2 linked regions of the Stegostoma tigrinum genome follow. The protein of the gene in region 2 interacts with the protein of the main gene of each other region in a biochemical or structural test. Links are inferred from orthologs where the notes say so. Each region holds a gene or a part of one and is shown on either strand. Other genes may lie near its edges.

Evidence for each region.
Region 1: the proteins of msh4 (region 2) and mlh3 form a complex in vitro, tested with the Homo sapiens proteins (2 studies listed by BioGRID). The link is inferred for Stegostoma tigrinum from reciprocal best matches to the Homo sapiens genes MSH4 and MLH3.

Annotation. Positions count from the first base shown.
Region 1 is NC_081363.1:860,929-869,745, reverse strand, and holds the start of mlh3 (DNA mismatch repair protein Mlh3), read left to right. Parts: upstream 1-5,326; 5' UTR 5,327-5,358; coding exon 5,359-8,817. UniProt on the Homo sapiens protein: Probably involved in the repair of mismatches in DNA.
Region 2 is NC_081361.1:100,898,265-100,907,198, reverse strand, and holds the start of msh4 (mutS protein homolog 4), read left to right. Parts: upstream 1-5,259; coding exon 5,260-5,402; intron 5,403-8,934. UniProt on the Homo sapiens protein: Involved in meiotic recombination. Required for reciprocal recombination and proper segregation of homologous chromosomes at meiosis.

The sequences.
Region 1 (8,817 bases), on a different chromosome or scaffold from region 2:
TTATGAAGAGAGGTTGACTGAGCTCGGACTCTTTTCATTGGAGAAAAGGAGGAGGAGAGGGGACCTAATTGAGGTATACAAGATAATGAGAGGCATAGATAGAGTTGATAGCCAGAGACTATTTCCCAGGGCAGAAAAGGCTAACACGAGGGGTCATAGTTTTAAGCTGGTTGGAGGAAAGTATAGAGGGGATGTCAGAGGCGGGTTCTTTAAACAGAGAGTTGTGAGAGCATGGAATGCGTTGCCAGCAGCAGTTGTGGAAGCAAGGTCATTGGGGTCATTTAAGAGACTGCTGGACATGCATATGGTCACAGAAATTTGAAGGTGCATACATGAGGATCAATGGTCGGCACAACATCGTGGGCTGAAGGGCCTGTTCTGTGCTGTTCTGTTCTATGTTCTATGTAACAGTGATAATGGGAACTGCAGAAGCTGGAGAATCCAAGATAATAAAATGTGAGGCTGGATGAACACAGCAGGCCCAGCAGCATCCTAGGAGCACAAAAGCTGACGTTTCGGGCCTAAAAGCTGATGTTTCGGGCCTAGACCCTTCATCAGAGAGGGGGATGGGGTGAGGGTTCTGTAATAAATAGGGAGAGAGGGGCAGGCGGACCGAAGATGGAGAGAAAAGAAGATAGGTGGAGAGGAGAGTATAGGTGGGGAGGTAGGGAGTGGATAGGTCAGTCCAGGGAAGGCAGACAGGTCAAGGAGGTGGGATGAGGTTAGTAGGTAGGAGATGGAGGTGCGGCTTGGGGTGGGATGAAGGGATCGGTGAGAGGAAAAACAGGTTAGGGAGGCAGAGACAGGTTGGACTGGTTTTGGGACGCGGTGGGGGAAGGGGAGATTTTGAAGCTGGTGAAGTCCACATTGATACCATTGGGCTGCAGGGTTCCCAAGCAGCATATGAGTTGCTGTTCCTGCAACCTTCGGGTGGCACCATTGTGGCACTGCAGGAGGCCCATGAGGGACATGTCATCTAAAGAATGGGAGGGGGAGTTGAAATAGTTTGCGACTGGGAGGTGCAGTTGTTCGTTGCGAACTGACCGGAGGTGTTCTGTAAAGCGGTCCCCAAGCCTCCGCTTGGTTTCCCCAATGTAGAGGAAGCCACACCGGGTACAATGGATACAGTATACCACATTGGCAGATGTGCAGGTGAACCTCTGCTTAATATGGAAAGTCATCTTGGGGCCTGGGATGGGGTGAGGGAGGAGGTGTGGGGGCAAGTGTAGCATTTCCTGTGGTTGCAGGGGAAGGTGACGGGTGTGGTGGGGTTGGAGGGCAGTGTGGAGCGAACAAGGGAGTCACGGAGAGAGTGGTCTCTCCGGAAAGCAGACAGGGGTGGGGATGGAAAAATGTCTTGGGTGGTGGGGTCGGAGTGTAGATGGCAGAAGTGTCGGAGGATGATGCGTTGTATCCGGAGGTTGGTGGGGTGGTGTGTGAGAATGAGGGGGATCCTCTTTGTGCGGTTGTGGCGGGGGCGGGGTGTGAGGGATGTGTTGCGGGAAATGCGGGAGACGCTGTCAAGGATGTTCTCGACCACTGTGGGGGGAAAGTTGCAGTCCTTGAAGAACTTGGACATCTGGGATGTGCGGGAGTGGAATGCCTCATCGTGGGAGCAGATGCGGCGGAGGCGGAGGAATTGGGAATAGGGGATGGAATTTTTGCAGGACGGTGGGTGGGAGGAGGTGTATTCTAGGTAGCTGTGGGAGTCCGTGGGCTTGAAATGGACATCAGTTACAAGCTGGTTGCCTGAGATGGAGACTGAGGGAAGCGTAACAAATGCTTCTTCACTATCCTGTCTACTTGGGGCTCCACTTTCAAGGAACTATGAACCTGCACTCCAAGGTCTCTTTGTTCAGCAACACTCCCCAGGCAGTTGTGGTGATCTTTCAGGAATTACTGAACTCAGGAAGAGTCTCCAAAAACTGGAAAATACCTAATGTAACACCACAGTTTAAAAAACAAGGGAGACAGAAGACAAGAAACTATAGGCTGCTTAACTTGATCTCGGTCATCGGCAAGATTTTACAGTATTAGAATGACTTTCCATTCTGAGGAATGTAACTACGAAGGGAGGAAAGGCACCGATGGCCAGTCATTTCAGCCTGAAAATAGACCCAGGTACCAAAGTAAATGCTAAGTGTGTTGCTTCATGAGGTCATAACACCTGATGTTTTGCAAAAGGAAGGAGGAGTGAAATTTAATACAGGAAAATACTCAGACAACTACTGGGGGCAGAAAGTTTTGTGTTTGGAATGAGCTGCCAGAGGAAGTGGAGGAGGCTAGTACAATTTACAACATTTAAAAAGCATCTGGATGGCTATGTGAATAGGAAGAGTCTATAGAAATATGGGCCTGAATGCTGGAAATGGGGCTCGATTTATTTTAGGGTAGTTGGCATGCACGAGTTGGACCAAAGCGTTTGTTTGCATGCTGTACAGCTCTATGTATCTATGACTGCGGAGTACTTGGAAATCCATGGTAAAATAGGGCTGAGTCAGCAAGGTTTCATCATTGGCAGGTCATGCCTGAGAAATCTGTCAGATTTCTCAAAGTGCTAACAAGCAAGTTAGACAAAGGAGAGACAGTGGACGTGACATATTTAGATTTCCAGAAGGCCTTTGACAAGGTGCCATATAGGAGACTGCTAAATAAGATGAGATGTTTGGGGCAAGCTACTCGTATGGTTAAAGGATTGGCTGACAGGTAGAAGGCAGATAGTAGGGATAAAGGTGTCTTTTTCAGAATGGTAGCTGATGACTAGAGGAGTTCTTTAGGGATCAGTATTGGGAGCTTAGTTATTCACACTTCACATTAATGATCTGGTTGAAGAAACAGAGGACGTTTTTGCTAAGTTTGCAGATGACACAAAGCTAAGTGGGGGGACATTTAGTGATAAGAAAGCAGTGAGACTGTGGGAAAGTGTGAAGTTATGCACTTTGGAAGAAAGTATTGTGGCATAGATGATTTTCTAAACCAGGAAAGGCTTTGGAAATCTGGAACACAAAGGGTCATGGGAGTCCTCATTCAGGATTTTCTCTAGGTTAACATGCAGATTTCAGTTGGCAGTTAGGAAGGCAAATATAATGTTTGCATTTGTTTCAAGAAGATTGGAATATAACAGCAGAGACGTACTGATGAAGCTGCATGAGACTCTGATCAGGCCACATTTGGAATATTGTGGGCAGTTTTAGGCCCTGCATCTAAGGAAGGATGTGTTGGTTTTGGAGGGGGTCCAGAGGATATTTACAAGAATGATCCTACGGATGAAGGGCTTGTCATATGAGGAGTCCTTGCCTGTACAGGTATTTCTGCTATACCATGAATTGGCTGTAACGTGATTGATGAATAGTGCACATTGCTTGGATAACGCAAACTTTCTACTGTGTAGTATAGCAAATTTCCTATAACACAATTTTCTATGGCAATTTTCTTTAGCACAAGGTTGCACAAGAACACAACTATCATGTTACAGGAGAAATGCTTGTACTTGGAATTTAGAAGGCTGAGGAGCGATCTTATTGAAAATTAGAAAACAAGATAGAGAGGACATGGAAAAGATATTTCTGCCTGTAGGAAAGACGAGGGCCTGAGGGCACAGCCTGAGTGAAGGTACAACCCTTTAGAACTGAGATAAGGAGGCATTTCTTCAGCCAGAGGGTAGATCATCTGTGGAATTCATTGCCGCAAAGGATTGTGGAGGCTAGGTGTTTCAGTGCATTTAAGCCGGTGATAGATAGGTTCTAGATTGGTGAGGGGATTACGGATAATAGGGACAAAGGGGTTGAGAAACATATTCAGCACAATCAATTGGCACAGCATATTGTAAAGCTGAAGAGGGTTCAGAAGAGATTTACCAAGATGTTGCTGGGTATGGTAGATTTGAGTTATAAGAAAAGCTGGATTGGCTGGGATGTTTTCTACTGGAGCATAGGAGTTTGAGACGTGGCCTGATAGAAGTTTATAAAATAATGACAGGTATAGATAGAGTTGATAGTAGTTGTCTTCTCCCTAAGATAGGGAATTTCAAGACCGGAGCACATCTTTAAGGTGAGACGGATTTTAAAAAGACATAAGAGGCAAATATTTTACACGGAGGGTTGTTCAAGTGTGGATGTAGGTACAATTACAACATTTAAAATCCATCCAAATGGCTTTATTAATAGGAAATGTTTGGAGGGGTATGGGCCAGGAGCAGACAGGTGGGACTGGTTTAGTTTGGTATAATGATCAGCATTGACTGGTTAGACCAAAGAGTCTGTTTCTGTTCATGACTCTGTGTTGAATGGCCTAACTTTGCTCCTATATCTATGTTCCTAATTGCCACCGATCAGCCCATCTGACAAGTCAATGTCCTTCCGACATAAGGCTATAATATCATCGTTCTCACTACTTACTAACCCACCAGTTTCTATATCATCCATAAACTTTGCAATCAACCACCTTATATTCAAGTCTAAATCATTTATATTATCCACAAACAAGGGCCAAACACTGGTCCCTGCAGAACTCCACTAGGCACAGGTTTCCAATCACAAAAACACTTCTCAACCATGAGCATCGATTCTAGTTCTGATGAAGTGTCACTGAATCCAAACTGTTGATTGATTTTCTCTGTACAGATGCTGCAAGACCTGCTGAATATCTTCAGCAATTTATTATTTTTTGTCTTAGCCATCATGCTGCCACTCAGGAAATTCCAGATCCAATTAGCCAAATATCCTGGATCCTATGAGCTCTCACCTTTACTATCAGCCTCCCGTGTCAAAAGCTTCGCTGAAATCCAACCTATCTGGTCATCTCTGAAAAGAATTCAGTCCAGTTGGTGAGATCTTGTACACACTGGTTTAAAGGAAAACTATTCTGGGTGTATTTTAATAATTCTGCTCCCTCTGAACTTTCACACCTTTCCAGTTAATGTTGGGGAAGCTGACCATCATTACCTTTAGGGTTAATGGGGAAAGGGGCAGGGAAATGTTGATGAGGAGGAACGTTGGGTCAGTAAGATGCTGCTTGAGCCTGCTGTGTTCATCCAACTCCACACCTTGTTACCTCGGATTCTTCAGTTCCTATTATCTCTGATGGGTCAGTAAGGATTAGTCTCGATGGGGTGTTCCTATTTATAATGGCCTTATTAGATTTTGAATTCTGTCAGATGTGCCTCTGTTTGTGTCAGACGCATCATGGAGGATACAGGCATTTCACTGTCCTAGTGCTTCCTACTGCATTCGCCAACACGCATGCGCGGAGCTCGCCGGCGCACATCTCCCAGGAGGCCGCGAGCACGGAGCATGCGCAATCGCGCCCTGTCTCCATGGTAACACGGCCTAGTGGCGATGGGTCGAGCCTACGGCGGGAATGGCAGACCGAGCGGTGGCCGAGGAGCGTGGCCGGCTTCGGCTGTTGGCGGCCGACACTCAGGCCGCTCTGCGCTCCGGGGTGGCGGTGCCCTCTCTCGCCCGGTGCCTCGAGGAGCTGCTCCTCAACAGCCTGGAGGCCGGCTGCGGCTGCGCGGCCGCTCGTGTGAACGCGCAGGCTGGGCGCGTGCAGGTGGCCGATAACGGGGCGGGCCTGGAGCGCGCGGCCCTGGAGCTGGCGGGCACGCGCTACTGCAGTGGGAGTGGGAGTGGGGGTGATCCTAGGTATACGTGTGTTCCCAGGGCAGGTGGTGGCCCAGGGGGTGGTGGTGGTCAAGGGAGGGGTGGTAGTGACCCAGGATGGGGTGGTGGCCCAGGGAGCGATGGTGGTGACGGCCCAGGCGGTGGTGGTGGTCCTGGGAACCGGGGTTGGAAATGTCCCAAGGGAGAAGACGATGGTGATCCCAGCTACCTTGACCTGCCAGGGCCTGGCGCCCGCGGTGAGGCCCTGGCCAGCATTGCTCACCTGTCAGGACTGCTGGAGATAGTGAGCAGGCCGCAGGGCTCCAGTGGGACCTGGGTGAAACTATTCCGCAATGGGCATGCCCGGCCGGTTTGTGAGGCTGAGACGGGGAGGCCGAGTCCCGGAACCACTGTCACCGTCTGCAACCTTTTCTACCAGTTGCCAGTGAGGCAGCGCCGCCTTGGTCGGCCCCTGGAGTGGGAGCAGATCCGCCGCCGAGTGCAGGCTCTGAGCTTTCTCTACCCTGGGGTCTCGTTCACTGTACGTGATGAAGCCTCGTCTGCGGCTGGAGGCTCGTTGGTGGTGAGGCTTCCCAAAGTCAGTAACCTTCAGGCCCGCTTTGCTCAGATCCATGGCTCTCAGCAGGCAGCAACGCTATGCTGTATCCAGCACTCATCCAATGGTTTCCAGCTGAGTGGCTTCATCAGCCGTCAGGGCCACCACAGCAAAGCCCAGCGACTGGTCTTTGTCAACCGGCGACTGGTGCTTAAAACCCGTATCCACAAGGAGCTGGACTCACTGTTGAGGCGACACAGCTTAATCTGTCAGCCTGAACCTGGCACTGGGCCCCGGGGAGGCTCTGATCTTCACCCTGTCTATATCATCAACATCAACTGCAACCGTAGCCAGTATGATGCCTGCTGGGAGACAAACAAGACCTTGCTAGAGTTCACTGACTGGAATCTTTTGCTGAGTTTGCTGGAGGAGGGGGTCCAGGCCTTCTTGCGACAGGAACAGTTACTGGTTGACCCCACAGAGGAGCAGATTCCTGTCCCGCTCCCTGTTGCTGGCTTGGACTTCAGGTTCTCACATGAAAGAGTAGCAGTGCTGTCCAAATCAGTCCATCGTCTGGTAGTGGTTCGAAACATTCCAAGGTTGGCAGCACATTCCGAACCCTGTGATGCTGTCTGTCAGGGGCAAGTCTGTGACGACATCAAACATCCAGCCTTGCATGGTCAACAGAGTGGCCTGTCCTGCATTAAATCCCCAAGGCACAGCCTTCGTTCTGCATATCAAGAAACAGCCACAAGTGACAAGTCTCCATTGGAAAAGGAGGGAAGCATTTTGCTCAGAGACCTGAGTACATCAGCCAGCTCTCGGACACAATCAACACAGCAAGCACAGCCTGGCACAGCTCTTTGCCTCCTCACAACTGCCAATGAGAATAGGACCTTGTCTGTCACTGAAAGCCCCGTACAAGAGGAGAAGCAAGCAAAGGTGGGGATCGGAAAGCAGGCAGGGGTACCACAGAGGGAGCGGGGGAGGGAGTCACTGGGGGAGCAGGCAGGGGAATCACAGGGGGAACAGCTGAGGGAGTCACTGGGGGAGCAGGCAGGGGAATCACAGGGGGAACAGCTGAGGGAGTCACTGGGGGAGCTGGCAGGGGAATCACAGGGGGAACAGCTGAGGGAGTCACTGGGGGAGCAGTCAGGAGAATCACAGGGGGAACAGCTGAGGGAGTTGCAGGGGGAGCAGGCAGGGGAATCACAGGGGGAAGAGGTGAGGGAGTTGCAGGGGAAGCAAGCAGGAGATGTGGGGCAGGTGGGGGAATCCCGAAGAGAGCAGGCAGAAGAGGGGGAGCAAATGAGAGAAAGGGAGCAGATGGGGGATCCATGTGAGAAGCAGGCTGGAGAATCACAGGGGAATCAGTGGGTGGAGGAGCTGTGTGGGGAGCAGGAAGTTGAGGTGGAATGGCAGAAGGACGGGGTGCTGCGGGGAGTAAAGATGGTGGAATTGAGTACGACTGGTCTCATAACCCACATTGTCCCCAGAAAAACAATAGAAGTAGGCACTGTAAGTGTTAGCTCTTCAGACTGGAGTCATGTCCATCGTCCGGGTCCAGTGAGTGCTTGGGAGATTCTGAATGAAAGGAAGAGAAAGGGAGATGGACAGCTCCTGCCTGATGACCGAGTGCTCTCAAACATATGTCAGAAAAGTGGGAGAGATATTCCCCGAGGTTCTGTGACTGACTGTCAGAAAATTCAGGATACTCATCAGCCTCACCATACATCTGAGACCTTTGCAGAATCAATGATAATCTCTCAGAAGATGAATTTACCACAATATCTCACCAGTTTGGAGAACAGAACTCCTGTCAACTGTGAGCCCATGTGTTGTCAGGCGAGATTCCACAGAAAGCTGGGCATGTCTCTAATAACTGGATCTCTGGATGTATTTCGGAGAAACTATGGGAAAATCAATGATGACCAGGATGGTGGAGGCTCTTCTCAAGGCAGTGCACCTATTCAGGACAGTACTGGTGAAGCAACCAAAAGGCCATCACTGTTTAATGTGACTGAAACCCCAGGAACAGAGAGGCTACACCAAAACACCAGTATCGGATTTACTGGTTCTGTAATTAGTGACCAGAGTGAGAGTTTGCAGCTTAATCAGTGTGATTGCCATAGTCTTTTAAGGAATTTGCATTCAGTTGGAACTTTCCCAGTTACTGGTCGTGTGGCCAGGGCACATGCCACTCCGTTTACAATGCCTGGTTATTCACAAGCCAAACAAACCTCTCCAGTTAGCAAGGAGCCTCGAAGAACCCTTGCTGCAAAATTGTCCAAGTTAAAGGACCTTAATAAAGGACATGCTGCTGATGAGAAAAGGGAAGAATCCAAAGCAGGAAGTTCCCTCAGCTCTCGCCAACCTTGTGAGAGTTTCAATGACCTTCTTCAGCCAGAACAGCAGTGTGCAAAACCTCCAACTCTACAGCAAGCACACTCAGCTGTTCCGGTGAACTCTGAAAATTGTCCCCTTCGAGAAAGGGGAATGAGTGAGGCAGACTGGCAGGAAGACAGCATCGGTGCAACAATTGAGAGAGCCCAATTCCTGAGTAACAGTAGCTCTTGTCTTGATAAGTTGCCTTGGCCCGCAGTTGATGAAAGAACTGATAATGGAACAGATGCTCACTCTGGTCTCCAACCTGCAGACCAA
Region 2 (8,934 bases):
AGAGTTGTGCAATTATCAGTGAACATTCCCTTGGATCCAGAGAAGATCATTGATGAAGCAGCTGCTGATGGTTTGTCTTAGCATACCAGTGCTTCAGTTGAGCTACAAGATGGCAAGTTTTATTTTTATTATTTTATGCGATCTGTGTCACTGAAAAGGCCTACCTAATTGTCCTTGGACTGAGGTGCATGCTGAGCCATTTCAGAGATAGTGCATATGAATGATGTGGAGATGCCGCTGTTGAACTGGGATGGACAAAAGTTTCTGCCATCCTTCATCAGTTTTCACCTGACGAAGGAGCAGTGCTATGAAAGCTTGTGATTTCAAATCAGCCTGATGAACTATAACTGGGTGTCATGTGACTCCTGACAGTGGGAATGAAGACACGTCGGCCAGACTGGATAATGAAAGCAATTTTCATTACCATTAATGAATAAGATGGGCTTTTGCTGCAATCATTTCATGGTAAACATTAGAGGAACTACCTTGCCAATTCAGAATCATGACCATAAAGAACCAAGAACAAGAGTAGGTCATTCAACCCTTCAGGCCTGCTGTTGTCATTAAACAAGATCATGGCTGATCCAACACTCCTCACATCTGCATTCCTGCCCCTTTCCCTGTAAGCCTTGATTCCCCTACTGATCGACAATCTATCTATTTCGGCCTTAAATGTACACAAGCATTCTACTGCCACAGTCCACTGTGGCAAGGAGTTCCAAAAACTGTCAACCTCATCTCAGTCTTCAATTGGCACACTTAATTCTAAGTTTATGCCCTCCAGTCCTAGACTCTCCTATGAGGAGAAACATCCTGTCAACATTTATCTGGTCAAGCCCCTCAAGAATCTTTAATGCTTCAATGAATTGAATTTAAATTCCACCATCGTCATGGGAGTAATCTGGGTCAGCAGTTCTAAAGACACTGAAGAAGCTCAATAGGACAAAGCAGCCACCTGACTGGCACCAGACCCCTAAACCTTCACTCCATCCATCAGATCACACTGTGTATTGTCTACAAGATGCACTGCAAAAATTCACCAAAGATCCTCAGGCAGCACCTTCCAAACCCACAACCATTTCCATCTAGAAGGTCAAGGGCAGCGGGTACATGGGAACACCACATCCTGCACATTTCCTGACAAGCCACTCACCGTCCTGAATTGCAAATATATCATCGTTCTTTCACTGTCACTGGATTGAAATCCTGGAACTCCCTCCCTAATGGCATTGTGGATCTAGCTAATGCTCATGGTCTTCAGCGGTTCAGAAGGCAGCTTCAGCATCGATTTCTCAAAGACACCTACGGAAGGACAATAATTGCTGGTGCAGCCAGTGATGCTCACCTCGCACAGAGAATAAAAACAGTCACTGAATGATTTCTCCCACTCTCTCTACGGATGCTGCCAGACCTGCTGAGTTCCTCCAGCAATTTCTCGTTTTTGTGCCTTTCGTTAATAACCCACTGATATTACCGCTGAGACACTGCCTTACCCTACAGAGCACGTGCGTCCTTCAGGCGTCTCTTCCCGCGCTCCCTCCGCGCGCATGTGCCAAGTTAATGGTCACGTGGTGCCAACTCCGCGCTTCCCACAAGGCGGGAGAGGCAGGGGGGAGACCGCGACGTCTTGGCCGCTGCTCGATGTTTCAGGACCCGCAAACGGTCGCCGCCGCCACCACCACCACCGTCCTTGCCCGCCCTCCGCGATATGCCTTCGGCTTGCTGGAGACACCCCGCAGCGCCGGGGGAGACCGAAGCGCTAGCTCTTCTACGGGGAGGCCGGCTTCAGGCTCGGCCTCGGAGCCGTCTCGCGGTCACCAAGCTCCCAGCGGTTTCACACCGAGCGGTGGCTCGTGCGGCAACGGTGGCCTGAGCCGAGGTGAGTGCGGCGGGGCCTTTAGAGGAAATGTTTTCACCAAGTGAGTGGTGGTACTCTGGAACTCGTTGCCTGTGAAGAAAGTAGAGGCAGAAACACATAATATTTTAGGAGTATTTAGGTGCACACTTGTGATGTCAAACCATGTAAAGCTGTGGACCAAGTGCTGGATAATGGGATTAGAATAACTATGTGCTTGTTTTAGACTGGTGTAGATTAGATTAGATTCCCTACAGTGTGGAAACAGGCCCTTCGGCCCAACAAGTCCACACTGCCCCTTGATATATCCCACCCAGACCCATCCCCCATAACCCACAAACCCCTGAACACTACGGGCAATTTCCCATGGCCGATCCACCCACCCTGCACATCTGTGGGAGGAAACCCAGGCAGACACGGGGAGAATGTGCAAACTCCACACAGACAGTCACCCGAGGCTGGAATTGAACCTGGGTCCCTGGCGCTGTGAGGCTGCAGTGCTAGCCACCGTGTCGTATGACTTAGAGTCATACAGCATGGAAACAGACCGTTTGGTCCGACTGGTCTGTGCCGACCAGTAATCTGACCTAGCCCCATTTGCTAGTTTTTAGCCCATGTCCCTCTGAACCCTTTCTATTCATGTACCCATCCATATGCCTTTTGAAATGTTGTAATTGTACCAGCTTCCAGCATCTCCTCTGGCAGATTGTTCCAACCACATACCACCTGTTGCATGAAAGAGTTACCCCTTGGGTTCTTTTTGAGTCTTTCCCCTCTCCCCTTAAATCTGTGCTTTCTAGTTTTAGACTCACCTAACATGTCAAAAAGGCCTTGATTTATCTGCTGAAGGACTTCTCTTGTACCATAGACATGTATGGCTACAAAGGGGAGATGATGGCCTAGTGACATTATTGCTGGACTGTAAACCCAGAGACCCAGATAATGTTCTGGGGACCCAGGTCCGAATCCCACGATGGCAGATGGTGGAATTTGAATCCAGTAAAACATCTGGAATTGAGAATTTAATGATGACTGTGAATCCATTGTCGATTGTCGGAAAAACCCATCTGATTCACCAATGTCCCTCAGGGCAGGAAACTGCCATCCTTACCTGGTCTGGCCTACACGTGACTCCAGACCCACAGCAAAGTGGTTGACTCATAACTTAGCTGTGGGGAATAAGTGCTGCCGAGTCAGCAACACCCTCATCCCATCAATGAATAAAGAAAAAAATTACTTAAAGTTAGTGGATGTTTTATTCATTACAATCCATCTTTATGTTTGTTTTGACAGAATCATATTTTGGTGATAAAAGTTCGAACATAGGGAACCAAAACCTGTTTCCATCCGTCTCGGCACAGAGCAGTTCTTCACTGAAGGGTTATGATGATACCAGAATAGGGAAGACACCTGCGTCCACTACCAGCAGCAGTCGCAATGCAAGACCCCCTTGCAAACTTCGTACTCCCCAGACTGGCCACTCAGGTTCATTGATAATTATTTTTATATCTCATCAAAGAAAAATTTAAATATATTCTTGCTCAGTAGTTCAATGCAACTTTTTAATTAGAATTGTTATCAAAACAAAAACATGGAGTGGCTGATAGACCCTTTTAATAGAAGGTCGTTTGACGAATTCCATTGAATTTACAACTCAGAAGTAGCCCATTCAGCTGTCATTGACAATATTCATGCTTCTCATTGTTCCATCCCATCCTACGTTATTTCAACTCTATCAGCACTGCTATTACCATCTCCATCTCTTCCACTTCAAACTCCCAGCATTTCTTTATCTCTGGGAAAATGAGATAGAGTCCTTGCAGGATGGGGTCTGTGTAGTGAAGATAGCTGTGGGAATCAATGGCTTTGTACTGGAGGGCAGTGAGTAGTTTATTCCCTGAAATGGAGTCAGGCAGATCATGAAAAGGAAGGGAAGTCTTGGAAATGGGCGATCTAAAAGTTATAGAGGAGTGGAAATTGGAGGCAAAATGAATGAAGTTTTCAAGGTCTTGCTGGGAGCACAAAGTGGCACCAAAGCAGTTGGTGTATCGAGAAAAGAGTTGTGGGACAGGATTGTTCCACATACCCCATAAAGAAGGATGCATAACTGTGCCCCATGCAGGTGCCCATAGCCACTCCTTTGACTTGGCAAAAGTGAGATGAATTAAAGGAGAAATAATTCAGTGAGAGAACAAGTCCACCCAGGTGGAGGAGAGTGCATGTGAATGGGGATTGTTCAGGCCTCTGGTTGACGAAGAAGCCGAGAGCTCTCAGACTTTTCTGGTGAGGAATGAAGTTATAGAGGGATTGGGCATCCTTGGTAATCGGGAGGAGGTTAGGGCCAGGGGACTGGAAATTGTCAATATGGTGGAGAGCATCAGAGGAATCATGAATGTAGGTGGGCAGGGCACAAGTGGAGAGAGGATAGTCTCAAAGTAGGAGGAAATGATCTCAATGAGGTGGGCTGATACTTTGGGCCTACTGGCTCTGTATGGCTTGTGGACTTTGGGAACGAGTTGGGAGACGACTAGGTGGGAGGTGGGGGTTTGGAGGGAAGATCTCCAGAGGTAATGAGACCGGTGACAGTCCTGGCAACAATGGCTTGACGTTCAGATCTGTCTCCATTTGAGGGGATAAACTGTCCACTGCCATCCATTGCAAAGCCACTCATTCCGGACGCTACCTTCTCTACAGCTTGTTGCACCCTACATGCTGCAAGGACTCCATCCTATTCTCCCAGTTCCTTTGCCTACGTCGCATCTTATCGAATGATGCCATCTTCCAAAGCATTGCTGCTGACATGGCTTGCTTCATCGATGACTGTGGTTTCCCACACACTGATTGATAGGGCCCTCAAACCCGTCCAACATATCACCCATGCTTACTTCCTTATCCTTTCTCATCACTCAATAGAGTAATCGGGTTCCCCTTGTCCTCACTTTTCGACCCAGCAGCTTCTGTATTCAAAGGATTATTCTCTGTCATTGAAGACAACTCCTGCTGAACACCACCAGCAAACACATCTTCCCCTCGCTCCTCCATCTACCTTTTGCAGGGATCGTTCCATCTGCGACACCCCACCCCATTTCCACAACCACCAACACCATTCCCCCCTCTTTGCAGTGTTTTCCATGTAACTGCAGAAAGTGCAACACTACCTTTCATTTCTTTCCTGCACACCATCCAAGGGCCTAAACAGTCTTTCCAGGTGAAGCAGCATTTCACCTGTACCTCCTCCAATCTTGTGTATTGTCATCACTGCACCCTATGTGGCCTACTCTACACTGGAGAAACCAAACACAGACCGAGCGACAACTTTGCAGAACATCTCCGGTCTGTGCACATGCAGGACCCTGACTTTCCCATAGCCAGTCACTTTAACACAGCGTCCTGCTCGCACGGCCATGTCTGTTCTCGACATACTGCGGTGTTCCTGTGATTCACAGCGCAAACTGGAGCAACAACAACTCATCTTCAGAATAGGCATTTTACAGCCTTTTGGACTTCAGTTCAATATGGAGAATATTGAGTTCAACACCTTTAATTGGTGAGCCATTTCTTCCCTTTTAGCTTTTTATCATGTCTTCCACTCCCAACATCCCAGTTACTGCCCTTTCAAATCTGGCTGGAGACACCATAGTTCTGCCATTTTCAGATTCCAATCACTTAATTTGAACAATTCACGTTTTTTTCTCCACCAGCACCCTATATGCACTACCCCCGTGCCTCCCCGCAAACTATAGTGTAAATGCTGAACCCTCCACACTTTACTTCAGCTCTGAATAAGAGTCATCTGGACTTGAAACGTTAGTTGCTGTCTCTCTGTGGATGCTGTCTGACTTGCTGTAATCTCCTGCATTTGTTGTTGTCAGTACAGATTCTAGCATCTGCAGTATTTTGCTCCTGCTCTCAGCAATCAGAGGACCCAATTTAATGGTGATTGAGTAGAATTTGTTTATAAGCCAAATTGTTGTGATCTGGAATGTGCTGCCTGAAAACATGATGGAAACAGATTCAATAATAATTTTAGGCAGAGAATTGAATAAGTGGGGAAAGAGCAGAGGAATAGGATTAACTGAGTAGTATTTTTCAGAGAATCAGCTTGGGATGGAATTGCCTTTTTCTGCACAGTGTTTCTATGGTTTATATTAGCAAACTGTCTTAATGTCTTGAACTTTGATTTGATTCCAGACCACATTATAATTGAGGAAAAACTAAGCCACAGAGACTATTTTGAAACCACATCATAGTGAACCTGGTCACTAACTATGCATCATAATATTTTATATGGAACAAATGCAGAAAAATAGTATATCTTTCAGATAGTTATACTCTCAAAATATTGAGATGGCTCCATTTCCTCTACACAATTTTTAATTAAATTTGTGCGCAAACAGTAATTTCAGGCACGCGCGTGAACCCATGAATCAAAAACAGCATCCAATGTCTCAAAGTTACTCAAAATATTAACTTTTTTTTCTCTCTTGCAGCTGGTTACCATAAAATTATCATTGAGTTTTATTAAAGCCCATCTGGTTTACTGACGTCGTTTTGGGGAAGGAAATCTTCTATCCTTACCCAGTCTTGTGACTTCAGAACCACAGAAATTTCTCTCTTAACTGGTCTTTGAAATGGCCCAGCAAGCAGCATCCTTATCCCATGATAGATGAAGAAGAGCACCAATCGGGAGGTACAACATTTAGAAATTCTCCAGTGAATAACTCATTTCCCATCTTTTCAATGCCTGTCCATCATTTACACAACACGAATCAGGAGTGTTGGAATAACCAAAACAGAATCCCCCTTGTCCTCAAGTACCACCCCACTAACCTCCAAATCCACCGCATCATCTTCTGACATTTCTGCCATCTGCGACCTGACCTCACTACCAAAGACATTTTTCCCTCCCCACCCTTATGTGCTTTCCAGACGGGCCACTTCCTCCGTGACTCCCTTGTCCACTCCACACTCCTCTCCAGCCCCACCACCCCTGACACTTTTCCCTGCAACCGAAGCAAGTGCCACGCCTGCCCCTGTACCTTCTCCCCCAGCGCCGCCGCCCCCCCCCCACCCACACACACACACACACACACCTGCATCCGAAGAAGACTTTTTTCACATCAAATAGATGTTCACCTGTACATATGTTAATGTGATACGCGGTATCCGCTGTTCCCATTGTGGCCGCCCCTACATCGGGGAAACCAAATGGAGGCTTGGGGACCACTTTGCGGAACACCTACGCTCAGTTCTCAACAAACAACTACACCTCCCAGTCGTGAACCATTTCATCTCCACCCACCCTCACCATTCCTCGGATGACATGTCCATCTGGGCCTCCTGCATTCCCACAATGACGCCACCGGAAAAATGCAGGAACAGCATCTCACATTTCGCTTGGGAACCCCGCAGCCCAAGGGTATCAATGTGGACTTCACAAGCTTCAAAATCTCTCCTTCCCCCAACCACATGCCAAAACCAGCCATTTAGTCCCCGCCTCCCTAACCATTCCCCCCACCTCAAGCCCCACCCTCATCTCCTACCCACTAACCTTATCCTGCCCCTTTGAGCTGTCTGCCCTCCCTAACTTCCCACCTACATTCACCTTCACTGTCTCTAACCCTGCCTCTTTGACCTATCCGTCTCCTCTAACCCTATCTTCTCCTTTTATCCATCTTCTATCTGCCTCCCCTTACCTCCCTATTTATTTCAGAATCCCCTTCCCCCTCCCCCATTTCTGAAGAAGGGTCCCAACCTGAAACATCAAACTTTTCTGCTCTTCTGATGCTGCTTGGCCTGCTGTGTTCATCCACCTTCACACAGTGTTAACTCAGTGTTGGTATCAAGATACAGGACAAAGTAACCCATTATTGGAAATTTAGTAACTTCGGTTTTTATTCCCCTCATCACTATTACACAGGCTGCAACTCACCAAGAGCGCTCCAGCAGCATCTTTCAAATCTGTGACCTCTACCCTTGAAGGACACGAGCAGGAGACTCACGGAAACACGTTCAGCTACAAGTTCCTTTGCTAATCACACCTCATCCGACTTGAAACTATAATGCCTTTCTACACTGTTGCTAAATCAAAATTCTGAAACTCCTGAACCAAACTGCAGCGATTCAAGCAGGCAGGTCATCACCATCTTCTGGACAACTAGGGATATGCAATAAATGCTGGCCAAGTTAGCACTGCCCACATCACATTGATGAATTAAAAATAATTCAATCTTGCATTCTTTTAAGTGTTTTACATGTTATTGTATGGGTATCCTAGCTTGCCAGGTAAATGGTACAGCTTTTCACAGCTGGATTTGTTATTTTTAATAAAGTGTGTGAATACAATGGTTCAAGATGGCAGCTCACCACCATATTCTCAAGGGCAACTAGGGTCAGGCAATAATTGCAAGCCGGCCTGTGTCTCCCACATCCTGCAAATTAATTAAACAATACTGCTGTAAAGTGCCTAAGTGAGAAATGAGTTGTTATTCATCAAGCTTGCTTTCCACTTTGATGGACCACTGCAGAAGGTTCAGGATAGAATTGCTAGTGAAAGAATCAGGGTGGTTTATTGAAATGGCAAGCAATTGCAAAGTTGAAGTCATTCCTATAGACTAAACGTAAGTGTTCTGGAAAATAACAGGAGCATGAAAATTAGAGCTCTGCTCATCAACTACAGCTCCGCCTTCAGCACTCTTATCCTCTCCAGACTGATCTCAAAACTCTAAGACCTAGGTCTCAGCTCGGCCATCTGCAACTGGATCTTTAGCTTTCTGACCCATAGTCCCCAATTGGTCAATCTGTGAAGATAGACTAACAGCACTTGCTCCATGATTTCCCTCAACACTGGAGCGCCCCTGTAAGGATGTGTGTTAGCCCCTTACTGTACTCCCAGTACACCTGCGACTGTATATCCAAATTCTGAAGGAACAGCATCTGCAGGTTTGCTAATGACATGACCATGGTAGGACAGAAGTGAAACAACAATGAGTCAGAATACAGGAAGGAGATTGACGGTTTGGTGGCCAGGTGCAATGACGACAATGCCTCTCAATGACGGCAAAACAAAAGAACTGATA